Linked DNA regions of Schizosaccharomyces pombe. The protein of the gene in region 1 purifies or fractionates together with the protein of each later gene. This does not show direct contact. Each region holds a gene or a part of one and is shown on either strand. Other genes may lie near its edges. The genes, in order: sgo1 and ppa1.

What was found.
Region 2: the proteins of sgo1 (region 1) and ppa1 purify together in Schizosaccharomyces pombe (affinity purification with mass spectrometry, with the first as the bait; one study listed by BioGRID). This does not show direct contact.

What each region holds. Positions count from the first base shown.
Region 1 is NC_003423.3:965,031-972,072, reverse strand, and holds sgo1 (shugoshin Sgo1), read left to right. Parts: upstream 1-3,305; coding exon 3,306-3,406; exon of another isoform or gene 3,407-3,468; coding exon 3,469-4,327; 3' UTR 4,328-4,337; downstream 4,338-7,042. Other genes in the region: serine/threonine protein kinase (CK1 family) Cki2, read left to right, coding at 1-88, 154-1,116; SPOM_SPBP35G2.04C (uncharacterized protein), read left to right, coding at 2,039-2,109, 2,202-2,622, 2,808-3,065; poteasome interacting protein Txc1, read right to left, coding at 4,739-5,362.
Region 2 is NC_003424.3:2,602,105-2,609,860, forward strand, and holds ppa1 (serine/threonine protein phosphatase PP2A catalytic subunit Ppa1), read left to right. Parts: upstream 1-5,691; 5' UTR 5,692-5,854; exon of another isoform or gene 5,855-5,912; intron 5,913-5,984; 5' UTR 5,985-5,998; coding exon 5,999-6,928; 3' UTR 6,929-7,256; downstream 7,257-7,756. Other genes in the region: vps11 (HOPs complex subunit Pep5/Vps11), read left to right, coding at 1-1,858; protein She9, read right to left, coding at 2,155-3,108; ptf1 (phosphoric monoester hydrolase), read left to right, coding at 4,081-4,123, 4,175-4,213, 4,437-4,509, 4,551-5,085; phosphatidylinositol-3,5-bisphosphate binding protein Atg1802, read right to left, coding at 7,365-7,377, 7,418-7,756.

The DNA.
Region 1 (7,042 bases):
TTTACTGGGACCTAGTTTAGAGGACCTATTTGAATGGTGCGGTCGTCGATTCAGTGTCAAAACGGTGGCTATGACGGCGAAACAGATGGTAAGTTTCCTAAGTTGTTCCTATAAGGTTTTCAATTTGTTTAAATTTTCTCTGACATTTCAAAGCTTTCCAGAGTTCAGACGATTCATGAAAAAAACCTTGTTTATAGAGACATCAAACCCGATAATTTCCTAATAGGCCGACCTTCCTCTCGAAATGCAAACATGGTATATATGGTTGATTTTGGTATGGCCAAATATTACCGTGATCCCAAAACCAAGCAACATATACCATATAGTGAACGTAAAAGCCTCTCGGGGACTGCGAGATATATGAGTATAAACACGCATCTTGGACGTGAACAATCCCGTCGCGATGACTTAGAATCGTTGGGACACGTCTTTATGTATTTTTTGAGGGGAAGTTTACCTTGGCAAGGATTGAAAGCTGCCAACAATAAGCACAAATACGAAAAGATTAGTGAAAAGAAGCAATCTACCTCCATTAGTGAGCTTTGTGCTGGATTTCCTAATGAATTCAGTAAATACATGACTTATGTGCGTTCGTTAGAATTTGATGAAGAACCGGATTATGCGTTTTTACAAGAGTTATTTGATGATGTACTTCGAGCAAATGGTGATACGAATGATGGGGTTTATGATTGGATGTTATTGAATGACGGTAAAGGTTGGGAGTCAAGCTCTTCTCATTTTTCTGTTGTTGCTATGAAGCGACGAAAGAATTACCTTGGCTTAAATGTTGTTCAAAATGATGATTCCAGAAAAAAGAACAGTACTTTGCAAACACAGAACATGCGATTTAAATCCTCATATGGGGTGAGAGGTCCTAGAAATTACTCATCGTTCGATGCGTTGCCGAGCAAAAACGCTCCATTGGTGCGTCAAGAACAGTCTGCTTCTAAAAAAACAATTTATGCTCATTCTTCTAGAGGTTACGATAGGGTTCGACCTATGTATGTATCTCAGCCCTCGAATAATGCAGTCGGAGTAAATCATCCTAACGATAATTCTGATTCGGAAGCAAAAGGAGGATTTTTTGATATGATATGCTGTCGTTGCTTTTCTTAGTTTCGAAGCTTCAACTATTGTTAGAGTCACTCACTTTCTTAACTTAAATAAGTGTTGTTCTACTATGCGGTAGATATGCTTTCACAATATCAATCATTTGATGATTTGGTTTTCAGAGTACGGGATAAATGGTTCATCTTTTTTTAATATTAATTTGAGAAACGCTGTATAGCGTCTTTGAGCGGGTGCTTAAATCAAATTCTTTAATTATTTCGATTGCAAATTTGCTGGCACTAGCCTACTTTGCTGGTTCTCGTTTAATCTTTTAATGTTGCTTTCCTTTAACATAACTCAATATTGTCTTAAAACTGACATTGTACTATTGTAGTAAATAATATATACATACACATATATAACCAAACCATATGTATTCTAGGTACTAACAATTGGTAAAATGACAACGGAAGCTAATTCGTTTTCAATTACAAATAAATAGAATAAAAGAAAGGAATTCTTTTTATACTGATTCGTGTAATATATTTTTTAGCTGGACATTCAAAAAATAAACTATACGTGTCTTAAAGTATTTGAACTGGACAAATGCCATATGATTTATTGGAAACTAGGTAATTTCTTTTGAGTAATGGTAAATCCCTTTTTAGTAAAGGAAACAATCAGCAACAAATAAAGAAAAAATTTTGACTTATTGGGTTATAATTACTGCAGCGTATACCTAATATGCTGTATACGACCTCTTCAAAAACTAACGCTAAAATCTGTCAAACCATAGTATGTAATTTTTATTTTTTTTTCTCTATGGCGTAGATATAATTTCGTATCAAGACTGTAGACTTGAAGTTTTAACCCAAGTTTTATCAGGTGTTAAATAGATCTCCCTTTTCTAACTTCTTAGTGCGTGCACATGCATGTGCATGTGTGTTAAACGATTTGAGTCTAAAATTGACAAGAGCGGCTTCGAAATATGATATCTAATAGCTCCATTGAGGATAGAATTAATAAAAATGAAGCATATATAGCCAAGTTTTTTGAAATGTGTGTGTAATTATAAGAATTTCTGTGTTTGTCGCCTGAAGTTTTAAAATTTAAAGTGAATGATTTATGAGTTTACTTACTAACTTTATTAGATTTTCTAAAAATGATAAAATTCGCTTCCATGGAGTCTCACTTGACCGAAAAGCACTTGACTCGTTTATGGTTAGAAACAATTTTAAAAAAAGGTTCGTATCTGGTATTAACCTACCCATTTTAATACGATTACATTTTTATAAGAAACTCTTTACCATTTTATGGCTAACAGTTAGAACGGTCGCTTTGTTATCTCATGCTAGAAACATACAATGTCTAATTCAGGAATCCGATGGCGATGCTAAAGACGTTGCTCGTTCCATTTATATTACTACGGCTGAGTTTCGGAATTATTTGTTGACTGAAAAAGGGTTTTACGTTACGACCAGGAGCATTTCACATTTTCGAGCAATATTAGACAGCATAAGATACCCTTTTGGAAAAGACCATGCTAGCAAGAACATGGAGCTTTTACCTATAGTAAGTTTTACATAAATTTTAAGCGGACTACTATGTAAGGGATCTTATCCAAAAGACGTATCTGCAATTTTTAGGGTTGATAATGTTATACCTTTGCATGTAGTTAAATTCAACGTTCGTTGATATAATATGCCAATGTTTAACACGTTTTCTTAATGATGCATACTAACCGACTACTTACTTAGACTTACGATCTCAGTTTTTGTACTGTTTTTCATGGTTATCTCACCAGTATACTGGAAGCTTATGAATTCTTTAGAGGTGTTTTCAAAAAGTATAAAGCTCCCTTGTCCTCTAACTTTATAGCAATAGGAAAGACCACGGACGAATCTAATTTCTCACAATTGCATCATTATTTCCAAAAGTTTGATGAAAGAATTCGTCGAATATTACATTTAATCTCTCAGGAGTTGGATGGATATTGTCGGATAGCGAAGCAGTAATTAATTTTATGTTCTTTTTATCAATTTTTATTCAGGATATGGGCTGCATTAAGTCGTACAACCATCTTTCATCTAATTTATTATATACTAATTTACATTGATTTGGCAAGTTCCTTAAAGAAAAGAGCCTTTCTCAATATGACAAGACTTTAGTTTGCGATTGTTTACCTTACACTTAACAGGTTTGTTTACATCAGCAAGTCCTTAATTGCTTTTCGCAAAAAAAGCTTTAAAAAAGCTATGAACTTTCAATTTATAAATTCAAATATAAACAATGAAGATAAATTGCCGATGGAGTCGTTGAAAAAGAAATTTTTAAAACAAAATCGTGAAATTATAAAGTAAGGTCAAAGTACACCATTTTTGAATCCCTTGTGGTAAATAATAAACATCTAACTTTCAGAATAAATACTCAGCTTTCTATAAAAATTAGAGAATCTGAAAACGAAATTCAAGATTTGATACAAGAAAATTTCACTTTGAAAAGTTATTTGGTTAAACTTGAAGCTCGATTTCGCAATCAATCTCAAACTGAGGACTTGTTAAAAAACTTCTTTCCTGAGATACAAACCATTCACAAAAAGATTTCACAAGTGCAAAGTTTACTGAAGATTATAGAGAAAAAGTGTTCATCAGATTTCCTCGAAGCGAATGTAAAAAGTCAATTTACAACCTGTGAAAATAAAGATTCGAAAGAAGATTATCAGATTTTGCATAATAAACGCTTGGAGTATGTATCATTTAATGATGAACTTAAAAGTCTCGAAACAGGGCAACCATTGTATTGTTTTCAAGATTTCCAAAAAAAAGTCCATGGTCCTCCGGCTCTATCTGAAAAACCTGGAAAATGTATATTAAAAGATAAAACCAATGCCCACGTAAACAAAATACCACAAGATGAGGTGAATTACTCATTGCCGCAAAAAAATATCACCATCTTTTCAAAGGAATTAAAAGAAAACGAATTTGAATCCATCAACGAGGGCGAAACTGAAGAAGAAAAGGCTAAAACATCAAATGTTTGTGTTTGTATTCCTTGTAAAAGTGCTGAACAGATAACTGACCTTAAAGGACAAGCAACCGGAGACAGCTCCCCATGTGATTTTGAAGAATCTCAACCAAGGATTAATGGACGTGAAAAACTAAGACGATCAGTCAAAGTGATAAACTATGCAATACCCAGTTTGCGAACTAAACTACGACGAGACTTTGACTTACCATCTGATAGAAAACGCAAACGACATCCCAGAGGCAAAGCATAAATTATATTGAGGTCACATTGTTAAATATTTTCACATTTATAGCACAGCTAATTTATAATTTAATCTACTGCAAGCAACATTTAAATTCAAGAGAAAAACAAAAAATAATAGAGGAAGAAAAAAAGAACCTAATCAAGGCTCATTTCTTTTACATAAACACATAATTAATCGGCCAATAAATACAAACCAACATTTAAACATAAGCTAAAAAAGTATGGAGACTTAGCCATTTAAGAAAAAGAAAAGAAAAAGGGCGTTAGATATTCTTTAAATAACCGTCATTAAAAAAAATCCAAATCAAAGCGTATTCGTATCGTTTCATATATATTTTTTATTTTGCTTTGGGTAAAACAAAAATCTCAAATAAGAGAGGAAAAAACCAAAAGGAAGGAATCTAAACTTCCCGGGAGCTTAATAGTAAGAACGGAAAACCTCCTCTTGGTTAACTTTGGGATGATCTGAAGGTCTAGGAGTAGCTTCGTAAATGGTTACAACAGGATCACCCTTGAAGGGAACAAAAGAACCACGAAGACCAATGTAGGCGATTTGTGTAGGATCATCAGAACCGTCGCTTTTGGTGAAGAAGATATTGAGATTTTGAAGGTTTTGATAGAGACGAGTCTTAACAGGAAACTCGAAGATATGGCTTCCTTCAAAAGTCAAGGGAAATTCAAATGTTTCAGTGGCTTGGACATCACCGATTGTGTCAAAATCCAAGTCGGTACGATTGGGAAAAAGTGAAAAGGAGTGTGGAGCGGTTTCATTAGGAAAAATGCGAACCAAAATTGATTTTAGTGTTGCCGCACCTGCAAACGGTACCTGAAACAAGAGTTGGTCATCAGCATCACTTTCTACGATATCAGTGTCATCATAACGAAGGTCCCAAGGTTTGAAGACGAGTTTTCCGGAATCTGGTACAGCTTCATTCAGCGTAACAATTGATTCCTTTCGGATGCAAGAATACAAGGTATCATTTGGACCAGACTCAAACGGATGTTCATCACAGTCAGCGGAACAATGGTGAGGGCCAGACATTTAGTACAAACTTCTAAGGAAATCGTTAAAAATGCAAGACTAGGCGAGTTGATAGGTGAATAAATAAACGGTAAACTCGCTAACAAAAAGTAAAAGGGAAAGTTATTTGCGAGCACACTAAGACGTAAGACCGACACTCGGAAGCAAATACTCAAACAAAACAACTAATAGGAAGAAAACCAAAAGCGGAAAAATATGGCGAAAAAGCCTCCCGAGACCAGAAGTACGTTATGCGTTAAAATATTTTTCTTAGAAGCTTTACTAGTCTTCAGCAAAAGAAAAACAAAAATGGAATCAAAATCAGAATTCAAAACTGAAAAGAAAGAATATAAAAGTAGTTTTTTAACGATGAATTATTTTATTGCTTTTTAAAAAATTTTGATTTTGAGACAATAACCGAAAACTCACTTTTGTACCAAAGAAACGTTGACAGTATAAGCAAACAACCTCCTTACTGACTTTTAAACACCAACTTGAAAATATTCGATGAATAGTATGAATACCAGAATTTTAAAAAATAAATAAAAGAAAATCTATACATAAATATAAAGGGGCCTTTTTGTTTTTTTTTTGGTTTTCTCGCAAAAAAAAGTTATTCAGTCGTAAATTTCTACGTGGTAGATGAAAGAAAGTGTAGAAATTTCAACGTTAAATTAGCGAGACTTTTGTAGCACTGTATGAGGAACAGAATTTCAAGGCATACGAACAACTAAGCTAAAAGGCCCATGAAAAAGACAACACCAAAGTTCTTCCTTGGTAACATTGTTTCTATCCAGGCGGGTAGGATGTGGGCCGTGTGGCGCTCATTGTAACAATATATATGTATAGGATTTTGATAAAAACCGGTTGCTTGAACATGCAAGAATAATGAACGGTGACACGTGACAAAGTTACAGCGCAGAAATACGGTGACAACCAAAGCAAGACCAAGGGAAAAGGTTCGCTATAGATGTGAAACAAGTCATGGAAAGAAGGGTGGGGGAGGGCAAGCCAAGGCTGGGGGTAGCGTAAAAGTATAACTTTGTATAATTTTACATTGAAGAAAGAAATGGCACGCCATATGTAACGTGTTTTCTTTTCCATGGTGAATGTTTATTAAGAGAAACATGGATATGCGTACATTCGGGATTACATTGGTGTGGGAGGATTGAACATTATGGATTTGATTATTTAGAGAAAAAAAAAAAAAAAAAGAAAGAAAGAGAACGTACTATTTTTTGGTTGACTTTTATATTCCTAAGGTTTACTCCTAATGTCGCTACGGACATGAATCCGTGCAAAAGGACCTGAACCGCTGTTAACCCTTGCCTTAACCGTGTCTCGCCCCTGTTGTTGATATTTTTATGCGACTGAAAAATGCCTCACTGGTTCAACAAAGCATGAAAGGATTAGAAATTTTTAATGAGAAAATCGATGTTGAATAAAAATGACCAAAGAAGTGTTCTTGCATTTTCTTTCTCTACTTTTTTTTATTTTTCTAATTTTTCATCCTTGAAAAAAAAATACAAACGAGAATGATCTGCATCTTGATATCTTTAGCGAATATCCTGATTTTTGCATAACTGGCTTTTTTTTCTCTACGCTTCTCTTTGTCCCGCTGCACTGGATAGTACTAGATACATATGGAATAGGGTGTTTATACAAGATTCTGGAAAAAGTAGTAAATAAATGTCCCAAAAA
Region 2 (7,756 bases), on another chromosome or scaffold:
AAAGTCATTTTCATCGTCAAGTTCAATAAGAAAAGCGGACGCATCGCGTAATCCTGCGTTTCCTCCACGTCTCCTCCTTGTTGATCTTTCTAGAAACCTCATTGTTTGGGAAGGTCATCTGAAGGATGTTGCTGTTTCAATCTTGCCATTAAAACATGGGTTTTTGGTAGTGACCGCTGATGATAACGTTTTTGAGTTAAAACGAATCACTTTGCAAGAAGAGATTTCGCTGCTTTGCCAAAAAATGATGTACAACTTGGCAATATCTTTAGCCAAAAAAGAAAATATGGACATTGAATTTAGAGAATCATTAATGCGAGATTATGCCTCCTTTCTTTTCCGTAGAGGTGACTTTTCGGCTTCTATGGATTGGTATATACGTTCTATTAAGTCGATCGACATTCCTTCCGTATGTCTTGAATTTTTGAAAGCTCAAGAAATTAAGCAACTTATCCGTCTTCTTGAAGAACTTATAAAGACGGGTTTAGCGACTTCTGATCACCGATTATTGCTATTATCTTGTTATGTTGAGATACATGACTCCCCTTCAATTAGGAAACTTATTGACATAGGTGAAATTGATTTTGATCAAGCATTTAAAATTTGTTACGATTCTAATTTGTTAGATGAAGCGAAGCATTTAGCAATACGTTTCAATAATAACGAGCGGGTTTTAGATGTTCTGGTTGAAAGTGAACAGTATTCTGAAGCATTAAGGTTTTTCGAAAGTTTACCCCCTTCAAATTTGCTTCCATTGCTTTTAAAATATGGCCGAGTTTTATTAGATAAACTGCCTGAAAAAACGACCAATATTTTTATACAATTTTACTCCAATTCTCACAGAGGGGATTTATCTACCTCTGAATCTAAAGGTGAACTTAAGACTGCGAAATCTTTGAGACAAACTTATCTTTCACTACTTCCCTATGCACAGGTTGCTAACTTTAGTTTACCTCCTAGTTTATACGAAATTTCTCCTTCTCAAGAGGAAAATCAACGTGCAGCATTGTTTTCAGAGGATGTTTCTTATACTGCACCAAGTCCACAAACCTGCTTTCATATTTTTTTAAATCATAACTCAGAATTGATTTCATTTCTGGAAGGAATATTACCAAATGCATCACCAAATTACAAGACTCTCATTAATACATGTCTTTTCGAAGCGTATATAAGAGAATCATTTGCGTCCTCAAACGTTGAAAAGCAAGAATTTTGGCAAGAAAAGTCTAATTCCCTTCTAAAAAAAGTAGAAAAAAACGTAGACCTTAATGCAGTCTTTTTAATATCTCAAATTCTAGGATTTGATGACGGGGTTCGTTTTGTTCAAGGAAAATCGGGTCAAACGCTTGATATATTTCGCTCTTTCTGTCAGCAAAACGATATTGAACGGGCATTAAAAATGGTTCGTGTTCATGGTCCAGATCAGCAAGAGTTGTACATCATGATGTTGAACTGTTTTGCGTCTTTAGAAAACGTTGATAGTTGGTATCAGGATATCAACGAAATAGTTAACATAATTGTTTCTCAACGTCTTATTTCGCCAACACAATTGTTAGACATTCTTGGAAAATCAGTCAATATCAAGCTCGAGCACATTAGTGACTCAATGCAATCTGTTCTTGACAATTATCGTGAATCAATCTCGAAACAAAATGAGGCTATTGAAATGGGTAAGCGGGATATTGAAGAAATTACTAGTCAACTTTCAATTCTTCGTACAAGAGCATTTGTCGTGCAAGAGTCTAAATGCTCTACCTGTGGAATCGATTTAGAGTTACCTATGGTACATTTTCGCTGTGGACATTCGTATCATCAGCGGTGTGTTGAAGATGAATGTATTCGTTGTCGATGGTTATAATGAGTCAAAAATATGAAAATTAAATACAAAGAAAGAATGGAAGTAATGCATTATTTATTGTACGAAATAAGTTACTCAAGTCAAAATTATGATTAAGAATATTTCATTAATATTTTTTTTGGCAAAATGGAATTAGGTAGTTACACTTGGATTCTCTGATAAGGTTTCTTAGTTTGAATAAATGAAGATATACATCTGCTTTGCTCATAACGCAAATATCTGCTCTTTTTAAAACTTGTAATCTATAAAACCTTTACCATAAAATCTTGTAATTAACGATTGTTAATGTAAATAATTCAACGCTTGAATGCTAAACCAAACAAGTGAATAAAGGTGTAAATAATAACTCCACCGCCTACCGTAAATTTGGTCGCCAGAATAGACAGTTGACGATAAGTCAATTGAATGCGGTAGTCTGTAGACAAAAAGCGAGATAGGAAATATTTTAGCGAATCCAAAAAAGAGTGAAACGTATCGTAATTAATAGGAGGAAGAATTAAGGACGCAGAATTTTTGGGAAGGTTTTTATTGTCAATTTTCGGAGAAGTAAGCTCTAATGCTTGGCCGACAGCTTCACCTTTTTTATCAAGTTTCTCGGAAATCTTTTTCAGTTCATCATTTATTTCAAGTTCTCGTTCCTTGTCAATGTGATCCACAGCTTCACGAACCAACCGTTTCCTTTTCCTTGGTTCCAATATTAGTTGAACGACCACAAAAAGAACAACGTTAATTCCCATTAATCCCCATGTACCCCAGGTACTTGCTTGCCGGATTTTATCACTCCAAACTTGTTCTTCGTGGTATCTCGATAAAATCGAACGCACCAATCCATTTTGAGCTTCCTCTACCCGCCTTTCCGCTACATCCACATCTTCTTGAGCCTTAATTTCTTCTTCTTTGTTTGAATAATCATCACGGTATAGTTTAGTAAATCTTTCTAAATCAATAGTAGACCAGCTACTACGTCGTTGTAACAATTCGTTGACTTCACGTTGACTTGACGATCTTTTTTCAACCGCTTCAATATAACGCTTTCTTGCTTCAGCTGCAGATAATCTAAAATCACGGAGCTTTGTCTCCTGCTTTACAACCGCGTTCTTTAATGCCTCAATGGAGGAATAACCAGTTAATTCATTCAAGCGTTGACTCGCTTGGAGTATAGTCTGTTGAACTGATCCATTTCCTTTATTATAGATTTTGGGAAAGCGAGCAGCAAATCCCTTAATAGACTGAGAAAGTCGTTGCAACATACTTTCTTAATACTTATACATTACTGTTATATCCTTTCATGTCTTCATATAGTGAGTTAAACATAATGTACTGCTGCACCAGCCATAAAGCTGGTTTACGGAAATATTCATAAACAGCTTAGAATATGCTATTTATAGTTAGGTATCAGCAATACTATAATACGCTATAATACTTACGTTGCGTATCACTATATGTCACATGTCCTAATTAAATATCGTACTATGTATGATACGATATTGAGACTGATCTTAATGATAATCTATTAATATTTATATCATCTGAATACTATAAATAGAGCTACTGCTAAACCTCGTTCCTCAGTTCAGTTACAAGCTATACCAGTGATAGGTAACATTATAACCTTGTTAATACAATACCTACACTCAGTTGCTACTTATATTATCTGTGTATTGCGATATTATAGGTCACAAGGAAAACTCACCGCAGTTCTACGTATCATTAAAACGAATACGAAACTGCGTAGCTAACATTAGGATAAGCGAAACTCACGCTTGAGAGAATGTTGTAGATGTAAAAAGCATTTGAAATTTAAAAAGAAAAAACAAAAAAAAAAAAAATTACACTTCACTTTACAAGGCTTGGGCCACTTTTCTTAGGATTTATGGTAAAACGTACTGAGGATATCGTTTACCCCTTGCAGAAATATAGAATATCATTTCTTTTCTTTGATAAATATATGCTTTAAGTTAATTCAACCTCTACACTAATTTCGATTTTTAATCTGCAGCCCTTTAAAATAAAGAAGACTGTAAATTACTTTAAGAATTTCATTTTTTTGCATATAAAAGATAAAATATGACATTTATCATGACTCGAACAAACGACTGCTTGCTAATCACGGAATAAACAACAAACTTTATATCAGTGCTGGTAAGTTTCGTTACTTTAAATCCTAGAGTTGGATAGCTGTACAAAGCAAGCAATTTCAGCAATTCAAAAAGATTTGGACTATGGCTCAGAAAAAGCAGTTATACGTATTCAGTGACTTTGACGGTATGAAAAAATAATTTCAATAAAAACAGACAACTAACTTTTGGGGTCTAGGAACTATTACACTCCAGGATTCCAATGACTACTTAACTGGTAAGGTTGGGAATAGGAAGATTGTTACAGATATAAAAAGATGTATAAAGGTAGTTAGAAAATGTTCTTACAATTAAGCTTAACTGAATATTTATTGAAGATTTACGAAAATCTGTAAGAGAAATCTATGATTTTATAACATTGGGTCAAAAATTTCCCTGCCCACCTTGAATGCTTTATTACTGCAACACTCGACGGCGACGGTTTACTAACTATGTTTTAGACAACTTTGGAATGGGCAACGCCAACCGTGTGAATCTAAATCAACAAGTTCTTGACGGTTCCATTTCTTTTCGGTAAGCGTTTGACGCGTAAATCAACTCTTAACAATTCATAGTGATGCTTTCGCGAAGATGTTGGATTCAGTGCATTTAAGCTATGATGAAGCTTTGGAGGTTCTCAAGAAGAATGTCGCCATTGATCCATCATTTAAACCATTCTATGAATGGTGTAAGTCTCAAGACATTCGTGTAATCATCCTTTCAAGTGGTATGGAGCCTTTTATTCGTGCACTTTTTGAGCAATACCTTGGCAAAGAAGAAGCAAGTAGTATTGAAATTGTTTCTAATGACATCAATGTGCATCCTGATGGTCAATGGAACATTGTGTATCATGATGACAGTCATTTTGGACACGACAAAAGCCTTACTATCCGTCCGTATGCTCAATTGCCAGAAAGTAAACGTCCTCACATGGTCTATTGCGGAGATGGTGTTTCCGATTTGAGTGCTGCGAAGGAAACAGAACACTTGTTTGCCAAGAAAGGACGTGATTTAATTAAATATTGTGAAAGGGAGAAAATTTCTTTCTCTGAATTCGAAACCTTTGCTGATATCCATAAAGATTTGCAAAAATTATTCTTTAGCAGTTAAATCTGAATAATACCTAAGAAGTTTTCGTACTTCAACATTTTTATACCTAAAGTTGATAGATATTTGTTATCAGCGCCTCGAAACTTAGTTTCAAGCAGGTCCTCATAGCAATTTAAATGCATCATTCACCAACGGTTCGATTAGTTTGGGTTGTTAGAAGCAATGATTTAACATAATTTGTATTTATATACTCATCCATTTGCGAGTCTTGTATGAAAAATCCTATATCATATCAGTCCGTAAGTGGTCGCATTGCTACAATATCTCTTTATTTTTTTTAAGAAAGAAAATAAAGAGATATTAAATTTTGCGTCTTTTGGTCGTGAGATCGCCGAAATAAGGTAGCGAGTATAACATAATGTAGATCACGCATATTGTTATATTTTGGTTTGGTAAAGTTACTCAAAGTCAGGAAACTTGTAATGATGTTTTAAGGGGCTTGCAGAAAAAATTGCTATTACGAAATCCATGTCTGTAATATTTTGGTTATTAATAAATTGAAATAAAATTTAAAACATGAAATATTGTGACTTTATGTATCCTGTCTACTACCATACCTTTCAACCTTCATACAAATTTTCCCGTACTCGCATCATTTTCTTTCTTCACCTAACTCCCCACCGTGTCTGTAAAACATAATATTTCTCTTTCCCACATACGAACGAATAAATAATAAAATACAGTATATGTACAGTAAACGTACCTCAGACACCATTATTTTGTCAAGAAAGTGAATAAGCTTACAATACCCCCGTCATCCAGTGAATTCGTAAGTGGGAAGTTGAAAAACGCATGCTCAACGCAGGATAGCATACAAACGGAAAAGCCCTTATGGATTTTTCTGTGGATGCTTTTCTTTTTAATTAAAAATTTAGTCGTTTATTAACTATTGCTTTAAGTTTTTTTCAACAAGATGTCTGTCTCTGGAAAAATTGGAGAGGTCGATCGTTGGATTGAACAGTTGAGTCGATGCGAACCTCTTTCAGAGGAAGATGTCATTCAAATGTGTGATCTCGCAAAAGAGGTACTTTCTGTAGAATCAAACGTTCAAAGCGTCCGATGCCCTGTAACGGTTTGTGGTGATATTCATGGACAATTCCATGACTTAATGGAGTTGTTCAATATTGGCGGCCCTTCACCTGATACAAATTATTTGTTTATGGGAGATTATGTTGACAGAGGATATCACAGTGTAGAAACAGTTTCTCTACTGATTGCTTTTAAAATTCGATATCCCCAGCGTATAACAATATTACGTGGAAACCATGAATCTAGGCAAATTACACAAGTTTATGGATTTTATGATGAATGCCTTAGAAAGTATGGAAATGCGAATGTTTGGCAGTACTTTACAGATCTTTTTGACTATTTGCCTCTCACCGCCCTAATTGAAGATCGAATTTTTTGCCTTCACGGAGGTCTTTCTCCTAGTATTGATACACTTGACCATGTTCGTATATTAGATCGTGTGCAAGAGGTTCCTCATGAAGGTCCGATATGCGACTTGTTATGGTCAGATCCTGATGACCGACCTGGTTGGGGTATTTCTCCTCGAGGTGCTGGGTATACGTTTGGCCCGGATATTGCTGAAGCATTTAACCATAATAACGGTTTAGATTTAATAGCAAGAGCTCATCAGCTAGTTATGGAAGGTTATAATTGGACTACAAACCATAATGTTGTTACTATTTTTTCTGCTCCCAATTATTGTTATCGATGTGGAAACCAAGCAGCCATTATGGGAATTGATGACCACATAAATTACGCATTTATCCAATATGATACTGCTCCCCGAAAGGAGGAATTACATGTCACCAGAAGAACACCCGATTACTTCTTATAAGTCATCGTATGTTTTACTTTCTTCTTGGACTTGTTAATAGCTGGAATTTTTCATGGTTGGATTTTAGCGTTGTCAACGTGCCGCTAAAAATTTACTTTAATTTTATGGGTTTCTAATAGAATGTTGTTATCTTCGAATTTTTAATTCTCCTGTTTCGGTACAAATATTGAATTTATGGAATGCATATAAAATTTATATAGGATATATGATGCACTTGTAAGGTGTCTACCGTAATGATAATTTTTCACATCTGTACCGGTGTATAATATATTAGTGAAACACCAACTTATCGACATTAACATTTTAATAAATTATCTACAAAGGTCTAAACATAAATGATAGCATGTTCAGTAAATAAAAAAAAAACATAAGACCATGAAAGCTAAAACATTGTGAAGCTGATGTATGAGTAAATTTAAAACTTGTGCGCAAAAAGTTAATCGTCAAAGCTAGATATGTTAATAATCGAAAATTTAACAAACAGCTTACATGTAACGCTCAAGTAAAGCACAATTTCCTCCATTTTTAAGATTTACTGCGAACCGATAATAGTGTCCTGAATAAGAAGCTACTTGTATGTGCGGACCGCTGCTCGAAAAAATTATTTTTCCATAGAAAGAAGCTTCAGGAATCTTAGCAGTTGCAAATTCTTTCCTAGTGTCCCAAACTTTTGCTACATTTGAAGTTAAATATTTTGACCAAGAAGATGACACAGTTACGGAAGATGTAGGAGACGAATTCGGATCCGATGGTTGCTTAGAGATTTTGAAAACGTGAATAGTACCATTTTCAGAAGCACAAGCCAGAAAAGGCTCAACTGGGTGAAAT